3 linked regions of the Macaca mulatta genome follow. The protein of the gene in region 3 interacts with the protein of the main gene of each other region in a biochemical or structural test. Links are inferred from orthologs where the notes say so. Each region holds a gene or a part of one and is shown on either strand. Other genes may lie near its edges. The genes, in order: YWHAB, MAPKAPK2 and ZFP36.

What was found.
Region 1: the proteins of ZFP36 (region 3) and YWHAB form a complex in vitro, tested with the Homo sapiens proteins (2 studies listed by BioGRID). The link is inferred for Macaca mulatta from reciprocal best matches to the Homo sapiens genes ZFP36 and YWHAB.
Region 2: of the proteins of ZFP36 (region 3) and MAPKAPK2, one has a biochemical effect on the other in vitro, tested with the Homo sapiens proteins (2 studies listed by BioGRID). The link is inferred for Macaca mulatta from reciprocal best matches to the Homo sapiens genes ZFP36 and MAPKAPK2.

What each region holds. Positions count from the first base shown.
Region 1 is NC_133415.1:97,754,992-97,758,160, reverse strand, and holds part of YWHAB (14-3-3 protein beta/alpha), read right to left. Parts: intron 1,731-3,169; coding exon 1,607-1,730; intron 770-1,606; coding exon 606-769; intron 1-605. UniProt on the Homo sapiens protein: Adapter protein implicated in the regulation of a large spectrum of both general and specialized signaling pathways. Binds to a large number of partners, usually by recognition of a phosphoserine or phosphothreonine motif.
Region 2 is NC_133406.1:64,477,133-64,479,436, forward strand, and holds the end of MAPKAPK2 (MAP kinase-activated protein kinase 2), read left to right. Parts: exon of another isoform or gene 1-52; coding exon 53-196; 3' UTR 197-1,746; downstream 1,747-2,304. UniProt on the Homo sapiens protein: Stress-activated serine/threonine-protein kinase involved in cytokine production, endocytosis, reorganization of the cytoskeleton, cell migration, cell cycle control, chromatin remodeling, DNA damage response and transcriptional regulation.
Region 3 is NC_133424.1:50,503,473-50,507,915, reverse strand, and holds ZFP36 (mRNA decay activator protein ZFP36), read right to left. Parts: upstream 2,905-4,443; 5' UTR 2,863-2,904; coding exon 2,821-2,862; intron 2,012-2,820; coding exon 1,055-2,011; 3' UTR 331-1,054; downstream 1-330. UniProt on the Homo sapiens protein: Zinc-finger RNA-binding protein that destabilizes several cytoplasmic AU-rich element (ARE)-containing mRNA transcripts by promoting their poly(A) tail removal or deadenylation, and hence provide a mechanism for attenuating protein synthesis.

The sequences.
Region 1 (3,169 bases), on a different chromosome or scaffold from region 3:
TTAATTACCAAAGACATTTCTAGCAATCTTCTATTTAAAATTATTTTTTAAAAAATTTTTGTTTTAAACTAGAACTCAAAAGGTCTGGATACAAGGGATACAGTGAAACTCCCATCACTAAATCTGATTTAAGTGATGAATTTTAAGGCACCTTTCCCAAATAATTTTTTTAAAAAGGTGTGTGCATGTTGAGAGACTACAAAAAAAACGTAGAAAAGGCTAACGGAATAATATGGAAGGTAATCCAACACACAACAAGAATGTGGTGTGTATTTCTTTTATACAACTATAATCTCAAATCTTGGTACAAGAATGACAATGTATAACCAAGGCCCAAAGCTTGGCAAGAAACAACTAACTACATTCACCTGGAACTTTCTACAGCCACCCCACAAAACACAGTAATCAAACAAAAGTCAGCAGTACGTATTGAGAATGAATTTAAAAAGTAACAGATCTGTATTTATCTCATAAAAGATACACTCCCACCCCCAGAAAATCTTTCAAAAGAAGTCCAAGACAATGAGTATGTTCAGGAATAAAAAGAAGTTAATAACACAAGCACTGTTTTGCTATGGTTAGATAGCACAAAGGGTCTTTCTCACCGTTTTTGCCAGGCTGCAGGCCTTTTCAGGAGAGTTTAGAATCTCATAGTAAAAGACTGAGAAATTAAGTGCCAGACCAAGTCGAATTGGGTGTGTAGGCTGCATTTCTTTCTTACTAATTTCAAATGCTTCCTGGTAAGCCTGCTGGGAGTTCGACACAGTGGCTGTAACATAAAGATGAAAATATTAAAGGCTCGGTTCTTTCATAGGTATCACACATTGGACCAACTATCAAATTATTTTCTTAATCCCAAATTGGGCAGCAGCAATGACCTAGCAAATGAGGTGTCAGTGTCTCTGCCATTCAGTTATACATTTGTTAGATATTTATTCTAAACCAAGTTGTATATTAAATGCTTTGGGGGAAAATAATTATGGCAAAGTCTACTAAAGCAGTTAAGAAATGCAGTTATAACCTTTAACAATACAGAATGTGAAAAACGATATGCTCCAGTGCAAAGATCACAGGCTTTAACTTTAATTCCCAACTCTTACTCCATCGGTCTGTGGCTTGGGCAAGTAAAAACCTCCATAAACCTCAGTTTATCCGAAAAATGGGCAGCCTGCCACCTAACTCGTAAGGTTGTGTGAAGAGAAAGTGAGACTGGAAAGTACTTGGCACATAGACACTTAATAAAGTGTGGTTAAGATTATCAGCATCACAGTAATACATGAGATAAAAGCAATGCATCACTAGGGCAGTTTCATACTACCAAGTATAAGAAGTTTCACCACTAAAAAGAGAGCTAATAAATAATACTCAAGATAAAGAGCTTTTTAAATATACTGCGCACCAGATTTTTAATGCCCTCCATATTTCCCTGTCAGATAAATTTTTATTTGCCCACCCATGACCCCGTTCATCACAATGCTGTAGTCTTTTAAATTCTTAGTACTGTGACATTGGTGTCTATGGCAAACAGACAAAGCAAAATTGTTAAAAGTCCCTGTGAACGAAGACTGGCTCCATTACTGGTCAAATTTCTTAAGATACTACTTACTTTGTTTGTTGTCTCCAGATGCCACTTCAGAAAGATACCTAAAATAATCTCCTTTCATTTTCAAGTAGAACACCTTACTTTCTGGTTGTGTAGCATTGGGAATAAGATATTTGTCCAACAGCTCCTAAAAAATGATCCACATTAAGAATTTAGAATTATTCACAAGATGTTAAAACTATGTTTGAGATTCAAGATACACACTACTGCTTCTAAATAATTTTTTGGAAGATTAAAAAAACACCAATTTTCGTCCAAGCTACTAAATGTTGTTTAGCCCAGGTCATAACAGCAGATGCCTGTATTCTTCTTTTAAAAATCACTTTGACCATCCATAGGGGATAATTAAAGTATAGCCATACAATGAAATGCTTTGTAGGCCTTTAAAATGATGCAGAGCTACACCGATAATGGAAAGGCTCTCAAAAGAAATGAGTGAAAAAAAGCAGATTACAAATACCACAAGAATCCTATTTTAACATTAAGATACATATGTGTACATGCTCACAAATACACAAGGGAAAAGCCTGGAAGGAGTATGTTAATAATGGTTCTCTGGGTGGTAAGATTAGAAGTGATTTTTACTTTCTTATTTATATTCTTCTGACTTGTTCTCCCCACCCTTTTTAAACCCATAAACTGGTATTACTTCTATAATTAAAGGGGGAAAAAAATCTTTCCTTAGGAGGAAAAAGATGATAATACAGCAAAACTGCCAAGAACTAAGTTTAAAGTCAATCTGACCTGGGTAGAAATCCCTCTTCTGCCACTTATTATCTGTATCTGTGTGACTCTGGACAAATTACCTAATCACCTTGAGCCTCAGTTTCCTCAGCTATACGAAGGGTCATCTTCTAGGGTATAGCCATCTTCTACGGCAATTATAATGATAAGGAAGTTGACATACATAAAGCGCTTAACACGTTGCCTGGCACGTAGTAAGCACTCAAAGAGTAGCTAATACTATTAATAATAAATTCCTTTAAACATTTATGCTTACAACAAAAGTAGTTCTGAAGGAGTCCAAGCTTCGTATACAGAGCAATATTTTCGAAGAGTTGTTTTAGAATGTGGCATCCTGAAAAACTGGTTAAGAGGCAGTAAGTACCAAGCTCTTCTTCACATTCTTTCAGATGCTCTTAAAAGTTGGTCTACATTTCATGAATTATGGAACTTTCTTGCCCTTGGAATGCATGACACACTTCATCTGAATACCAGATGTACCTAACATTCAGGAATTAGTGCACCATTAACAAACCCCCAAATTACCAACAGGCAACAAATTTAGTCATGACACTCTTATGCCATGAGTCTAATAAAAAGAGAAGCTCAATGCAAAGCTAGTTATAAGGGGATTTAATCAACCAAAGTGAGAAGATGCAGGGGGCGGTAGTTGTTTTAATATTCTTTGTAGACAGACAGTGTGTAACTCCTAATGGGTTAGGGATAAGGGGTGCTGCCTGATGGCTGACACGCTTTGTACTGGTTTTCAAAAGGAGTCATGGGCAGTAACTAGGAAAGGGAGCCAGCAGGGAAGGAGGTAGGTCCCCAAGTGTGAATTCCTTT
Region 2 (2,304 bases), on a different chromosome or scaffold from region 3:
TTCCTGTCTTCTGGCTCTCTCTGTACCTTTCCTGGTGCTGCTGTGCCCCCAGGAGGAGATGACCAGTGCCTTGGCCACAATGCGCGTCGACTACGAGCAGATCAAGATAAAAAAGATTGAGGATGCGTCCAACCCTCTGCTGCTGAAGAGGCGGAAGAAAGCTCGGGCCCTGGAGGCTGCGGCCCTGGCCCACTGAGCCACCGCGCCCTCCTGCCCGCGGGAGGACAAGCAATAACTCTCTACAGGAATATATTTTTTAAACGAAGAGACACGGAACTGTCCACATCCGCCGCCTCTCCTCAGCTGCATGGAGCCTGGAACTGTGTCAGTGGCTGAATTCTGCCTTGGCTCTGGCCACCCCAGAGTGGGAGAGGTTGGGAGGTTGGGAGGCTATGGAGAGAAGTGAGCAAGGTGCTCTTGAACCTGTGCTCATTTTGCAATTTTATCAGTAATTTGACTTAGAGTTTTTATGAAACCTCTTTTGTTGTCCTTGCCCCACTCCTCCTCTCCACCAGACGCCTTCCTCTCTGGATACTGCAAAGGCTTGTGGTTTGTTAGAGGGTATTTGTGGAAACTGTCATAGGGATTGTCCCTGTGTTGTCCCATCTGCCCTCCCTGTTTTCTCCACAACAGCCTGGGGTCGTCCCCACTGGCTCAGGCGTTCTGGGAGCTCAAGGCCACCTTGGAGGAGGATGCCATGCACCTCCTCTCTCGGAGCCCTCAGACATCTCCAGTGTGCCAGACAAAAAGGAGTGAGTGTGTGTGTGTGTGCACACGTGTGTACGAGTGCGCAGATCTGTGCCTGGGATCGTGCATTTGAGGGGCCAGGGGCAGGCAGGGCTGCAGAGGGAGACGGCCCTGCTGGGGCTTAGGAACCTTCTCCCTTCTTGGGTCTGCCCTGCCCATACTGAGCCTGCCAAAGTGCCTGGGAAGCCCATCCAAATTCTGAACCAGGCCCTCTGTGGCCTGTCTCTGTTCGCTGGGTTCCGGGAGGCAGAGAGGAGTGACCGGGCACTGGCACAGCGATCAGGAAGACTGGACCCCCAGCCCCAGGGCCCCCTTCCCCCCACTTAGTGCTGGTCCTAGGTCCTCTGAGGCACTCATCTACTGAATGACCTCTCTACTTCCCCTTCTTGCCATTTATTAACCCATTTTTGTTTATTTTCCTTAAATTTTTAGCCATTTCTCCATGGGCTGCCGCCCAGCTCATGTGGGTGAGCCTGGGCAGCTTCTGTTGACAAAGCTTTTGCATTTCCTGTGTTTCTCCTGGGTTCTGGGGCATCAGCCAGCTACCCCTTGTGGGCAAAGGCAGGGCCATTTTTGAGGTCTTCCCTCAGATTTCCATTGTGTGGCCTGGTGGGTCAGGGGGAGTCTTTGCACCAAAGATGTCCCGACTTTGCCCCCTTGCCCATCAGCCATTTGCCATCACCCCAAACAACTCAGCTTCGGGGCCGGTGAAGGGAGGGGCCTCCCCCAGCACAGTTGAGGAGCAGCTGGGGTAGGCTCTCTGTGCCATGGCCCCCCACTCCCCCTTCCCTTGGAGGGAGAGGTGGCAGGAATACTTCACCTTTCCTCTCCCTCAGGGGCAGGTGGTGGAGGGGCACCCAGGGTTGCCTTTGTGCACCGGGGAAGGTGCTGGGTGCCTGCAGCGCCTCCCTTGTCTCAGACGGTGTGTCCAGCACTCGATTGTTGTAAACTGTTGTTTTGTATGAGCGAAATTGTCTTTACTAAACAGATTTAATAGTTGAGAGTTTTTCTTTCTCTTTCTTCCTGGGGCTCAGGCGCTAGCCCCCAATGCCTCTGCGTGCAGAGGGGTTTTGTTGGGTGGTGGGGGTGTGGGTTGGGGGTCCTGGGAGAGGAGCAGAGGGCCTCCTGGGCGAGCAGGGGCCAGCACCTCATTGGTGAGGACCTGGGCAGGATGTGTGTAGGGCATCCTCAAAGCAGGACAGGGAGGCTGCAAGGCTCAAGCCCATGTTCTTTTGCCAAATGCAGAATCAGGAGCCAAGCTCTTTTTGGCATATGATTCTTTGACCTACATAACCACCACCAGGTGCTGGCACCTTTAGCCTGTGAAAGCCGACTGGTATAGGCTCCAGGGAAGACGGGGTGCTGGTGAATTTTGTTGAAATCCTGGAAAAGATACCAGGGGAGCAGGTTAGTGTAGTACCGGCACTCTCCAGGAGGTGGTGATAGGGGTCAGGCAGAAACCAAATGCTCTACCTCGGAGCTAGAAGAGAGCTCAGGATTCCTGTGGCCCATTCTCAGTGCACAGATGAGAAGACTGAAGCCCAGAGCTGGGGCCAC
Region 3 (4,443 bases):
CCGGCCCCTCCCGCCTCCCGCCTCCCGCGGCCCCGTGGGGACGGAAACATTCAGTCCCCGCCCGCGCCCGCCCGAGAGCTAGGTCAAGGAGCCCGGCAGGACGGGAGCGCAGCGCCCCCGACGCCCGGGAACTGGCTCCCCCGGTTCCCATCTGGTGACCTCACCTGGTCCCACCCTTTCAGGTGAACTGCCAGGCCCGGTGACGTCACTTCCTGCCAGGTAAGCGCCGCGAGGCTCGGAGAAGCAGAGTTGACTGCACCCAGCTTCCAAAAAGTCACCCTCTACCTCCCCATTCCTGTCTCTAGACCGCGAAGAAGCCAGGATCCCAGCTTACACTCAGATTGTTTATTTAAAAATGCCCCAAAACACAAAAATAGACTTTTAAGGTAACAATATATATTACTAAATATATTATAGTCTACTTATAATTATACCGTCGTTTCCAATATTACAAAAAAAGAGAAAGAAAAATACAAGGGAAGCAGACGACCCAATATATATAAATACTATAAAATCATATTAGAATAAATAAAGTCGTCATAAATAAAGGGTCCATTGATTTATGGATGGGGTTTGGCAACGGCTTTGGCTACTTGCTTTTGGAGGGTAATTTGAGCACCAGGATTCCCCCTCAGGAGAGGTTCCAGTTACCAGGAGACACTGGAACCTCAGGTCTATAAACACTGGAGGGGCAGTGAAGGCCTATTATTCACAGCACGTAAGATTCTATGAGACAGATTTGGGCAGGGAAGAGGTGGGGAGAGGGCTCACTGCCTCCCTTAAATATGCTACATTTTTTTTTTTTTTTTTTTTGGTCAAAAACCTCAGAAGACACTCTATCCCCCACCACCATGAATACTGAGCTTGCACACTTGGGGACCTGCCCCAGTGTGAGGTCAGGGGAGTGGGTTAATGCATTCTGGAAAAGGGGGTTACTTGATTACTTGATTACTGTCCCTCAAGTCCCCATAGCCCTAGGGTCCATGCAGAGACCACAGTGCAACAGACGTGGCTCCCCGCTGAGATCCAGCTGATCTGACCGGGCAGTCACTTGTCACTCAGACACAGAGATGCGATTGAAGATGGGGAGTCGCCGGGGGGCTGCCGCGGGCTGGGGTGGTGCAAAAACCCCCGCCTCGAAGACAGGAGAGTCAGAGCCCCCCAGGCTGCTGCCGCTGCTGGCATATTCATCAGGGTCGGATCCCAGGGACTGTACAGAGGGGGTCCGAACCAGGCCACCCAAGGGCCCCCAGACGCTGACAGGAGTGGCCCTTCGGCAGGAGGGGCAACAGAGTGGGCTGGGGTCTCTTCGAGCTACGGGGGTACCAGGGGCAGCAGAGAAGGCAGAGGGTGACAGTGGAAGGTCCCCAGGTGGTGGCGGGGAGCTGGAGGGTGAGAAGGAGCTGGAGGACAGGGAAGGGCCGACCAGGCCTGGTGGTGGTGGTGAGGTCCGGCGGCCAGAGGGCAGGCCGGAGAAGCTGATGCTCTGGCGAAGCACAGGAGGGTGGCCCGGGGCCGCCAGGTCTTCGCTGGGGTTGTGGATGAAGTGGCAGCGAGAGCCATAGGGGCAGCGGCCCTGGAGGTAGAACTTGTGGCAGAGTTCTGTCTTGTACTTGGGGTGGCGATTGGCCTGGCGCAGCTCGCCCAGGCCATGGGCAAACTGGCACTTGGCCCCGTAGCGGCAGCGTCCACTCTCTGAGAAGGTCCGACATAGCTCAGTCTTGTAGCGCGAGGGGGTGGTGGAGGTCGCAGTGGGCGAAGTGGGTGAGGGTGACAGCTCGGGGCCCAGGCGGGGAGCCAGCGGTGCGAAGCCAGGGGGTGGGGGCACCCAGCCACAGCTGCGGCCTTCTACCAGGCTGGTGGAGCGGCCAGGCAGGCGGGAGGTGACCCCAGACGGGCTGGAGTCGGAGGGGCTCAGGCTCCAGAGTCCCGAGGAGCCCCAGCCTGGGCTGGACTCAGTCCCTCCATGGTCGGATGGCACCGGCACGTCAGGGCTCAGCGACAGGAGGCTCTGCGGAAATGGGTCGGTTAAGGTACCCGAAAATGCAGGGCGACGCCCCACCCCAGCTGCAGGGAACTAGAGCTTGCCAGGCCGGTTTGTGGGCTCCTGGCCTGAGCCCCACCCGCCTGCAAAAACCCCTGGGTTCCGGATGCCAGGAACCCAGATTTGGAGGTTCTGAGTTTACCCACGACCGAGGCCTTATCCCGAGGGACCCAGGAATCCCGGCTTTCCCGGCTGGACCAAGAGGGGGCCCCGAAGTCAGGGCACACCACTTTTTCCCAATTTTGGGTCTCTTGCCCTCCCCAGATATGACCCACGCGTCAGGATCTCCAGTTTCACAACTGGAGGAACCGGGCAAAGTTGACCCAGGAGTCCGGATGGCTTCGGTTTTAGGGTTCTCAGAGAACTACGGTCAGGGACTGGAGACACAGAAGTCGGATCCCCCCAACCCTGAGACTTCAGCCCCAGAGACGCCTCCGCGCAAAACCACGCCCTCAGCAACGACTAGGGGTGAGCCAGGTGTGGGGGCCACTTCCGCCTCCAGGCAGCCTAGGTCTGAGAAAAGTTCTCCGACTTTCCACTCGCACGGGCCGCCCCACCCATGTTTGGGCCAAGAGCCGGGAGTCGTGGGCTCCATTTTCACCTCCAAATCACCAAGCTGGTCTGAGCGGGAGGCAGGGGCCCCAGGCTGGAGGGCAGGGCGCTAGGAAGCCCCAGTTGGAGAAGAGAGGCAAGCGTCCCGGGATGGAGTTTGCGGCGCTAGAGAGCTGGGGAGTCAAGTGTGCAGGTACCGGGGGTGCCGTGCGGTGGGGACTCACCTCGTAGATGGCAGTGAGATCCATGGTGTAGCGGTTGGCCATTAGAGGGGAGTCGGCCGAGAGTCGGAGCGCTGAAGTCAGGCTGAGGCTGGCAGGGAGAGCCGGCTACTTAAACAGCAAGCACGGGGCGGGGCCTGGGCCAGGGGCGGGGCAGGAGGGGCGCTTCCCGGACGCGCGCCCCGGGCGCAGCCCGGCTGGCCCTGGACTGGTTCCCTTCCGCCCGGCCCTGGGCCAGGACGCGCCTGAGCTTGGCCGGTGGACAGCCGCGACCGGGCGGGGAGTGCGTGGGGAAAGGGTGGGGGTCGGGGTGGGGGTGCGGATCGGGGGGGCGCCTGCCCAGTTTTCAAAGCTGGAGACTGAGGCGTGTAGAAGGAAACTGGGGCGGAGGTGGGGGCAGGGCTTCAGGGGCAATTGACAAGGGCAGAGGCCCGATGGGGGTGCGCGTGCGACACAGACGGACGGGGGCGGGGAGAGACACGCAGAGGGGTACAGACAGACAGGGAGAGAGGCAGAGAGAAAAACAGAGACACACACACACCGAGAGACACATACAGGGAGAGATAGGGTGAGCAGGGGAGGGACGGTGGGGAGACAGAGACAGTCCCAGAGACAGATTCAGAGGGAGAAGAGGGTTGGGAGGATCACAAAAAGAAACAGAAAGGGGCTGAGCGCAAGTGGTTTACGCCTGTGATCCCAGCACTTTTTGTGTTTTTCTTTCTTTCTTTCTTTTCTTCATTATTATTTTTTTGAGAGACGGGGTTTCCCTATGTTGCCCAGGGTGATCTTCGCCTCCGCCTCCGAGACTGAAGGGATCCTCCCACCTCGGCCTCCCAAAGAGCTGGAATTACAGGTGCGAACCAGCAAGCCCGGCCAATCCCAGTACTTTGAGAGGGTGAGGCAGGTGGAGTACCTGAGATCAGGAGTTCAAGATCAGCCTGGGCAACAGTGAGATCCCATCTCTACAAAAAATACTATTTAAAAAAATTAAAAAGAAAAACTGGACAAAAAGGAGAAAGACTGTGAGAAACAAGCACTTACAGAAAGAAATCTGCCAAGCAAAGTGCCAAGAAAGAGCCGGCAGGCCTTGGAGGGGAATTCTCTGAGAACTGCCTGCCTTGTGTTGTCTCACTCCTAAACAGCCCAGACAGATGAGACCAGAACTGCTCTCCCTCTCCCCACTTGCTGGGGTTGGGTGGGTGAGTGAGTGGGTTGGGGTCCAGGATACCTAGCAAGGCTGAAAAGGGGCCTCCTTTCCCAAGTCACAGGGCGGCTCTAGCCCCTCATCCTCAGGCAGATGATCTCTTCTAGGCTGAGTTAAGGAGAACTCACCTAGGCTGAGTTCTAAATGCTTTACGCACATTCATCCTAATGCTAGGTGGTATGCCTATTTAAGGCAGGAGGAAACCAAAGTGAAGTTACTCTCCTGCCCGGCTCACACCTGTAGCCCTAGCACTTTGGGCACCCAAGGCGGGCGGATCACGAGAGCTCAGGAGTTGGAGACCAGTCTGGGCAACATGGTGAATCCCCGTTTCTACCAAAAATACAAAAATTAGCTGGGTGCGGTGTCACACGCCTGTGGTCCCGCTATTGGGGGGCGGGGAGGGAGCAGGCTGTGGTGGGAGA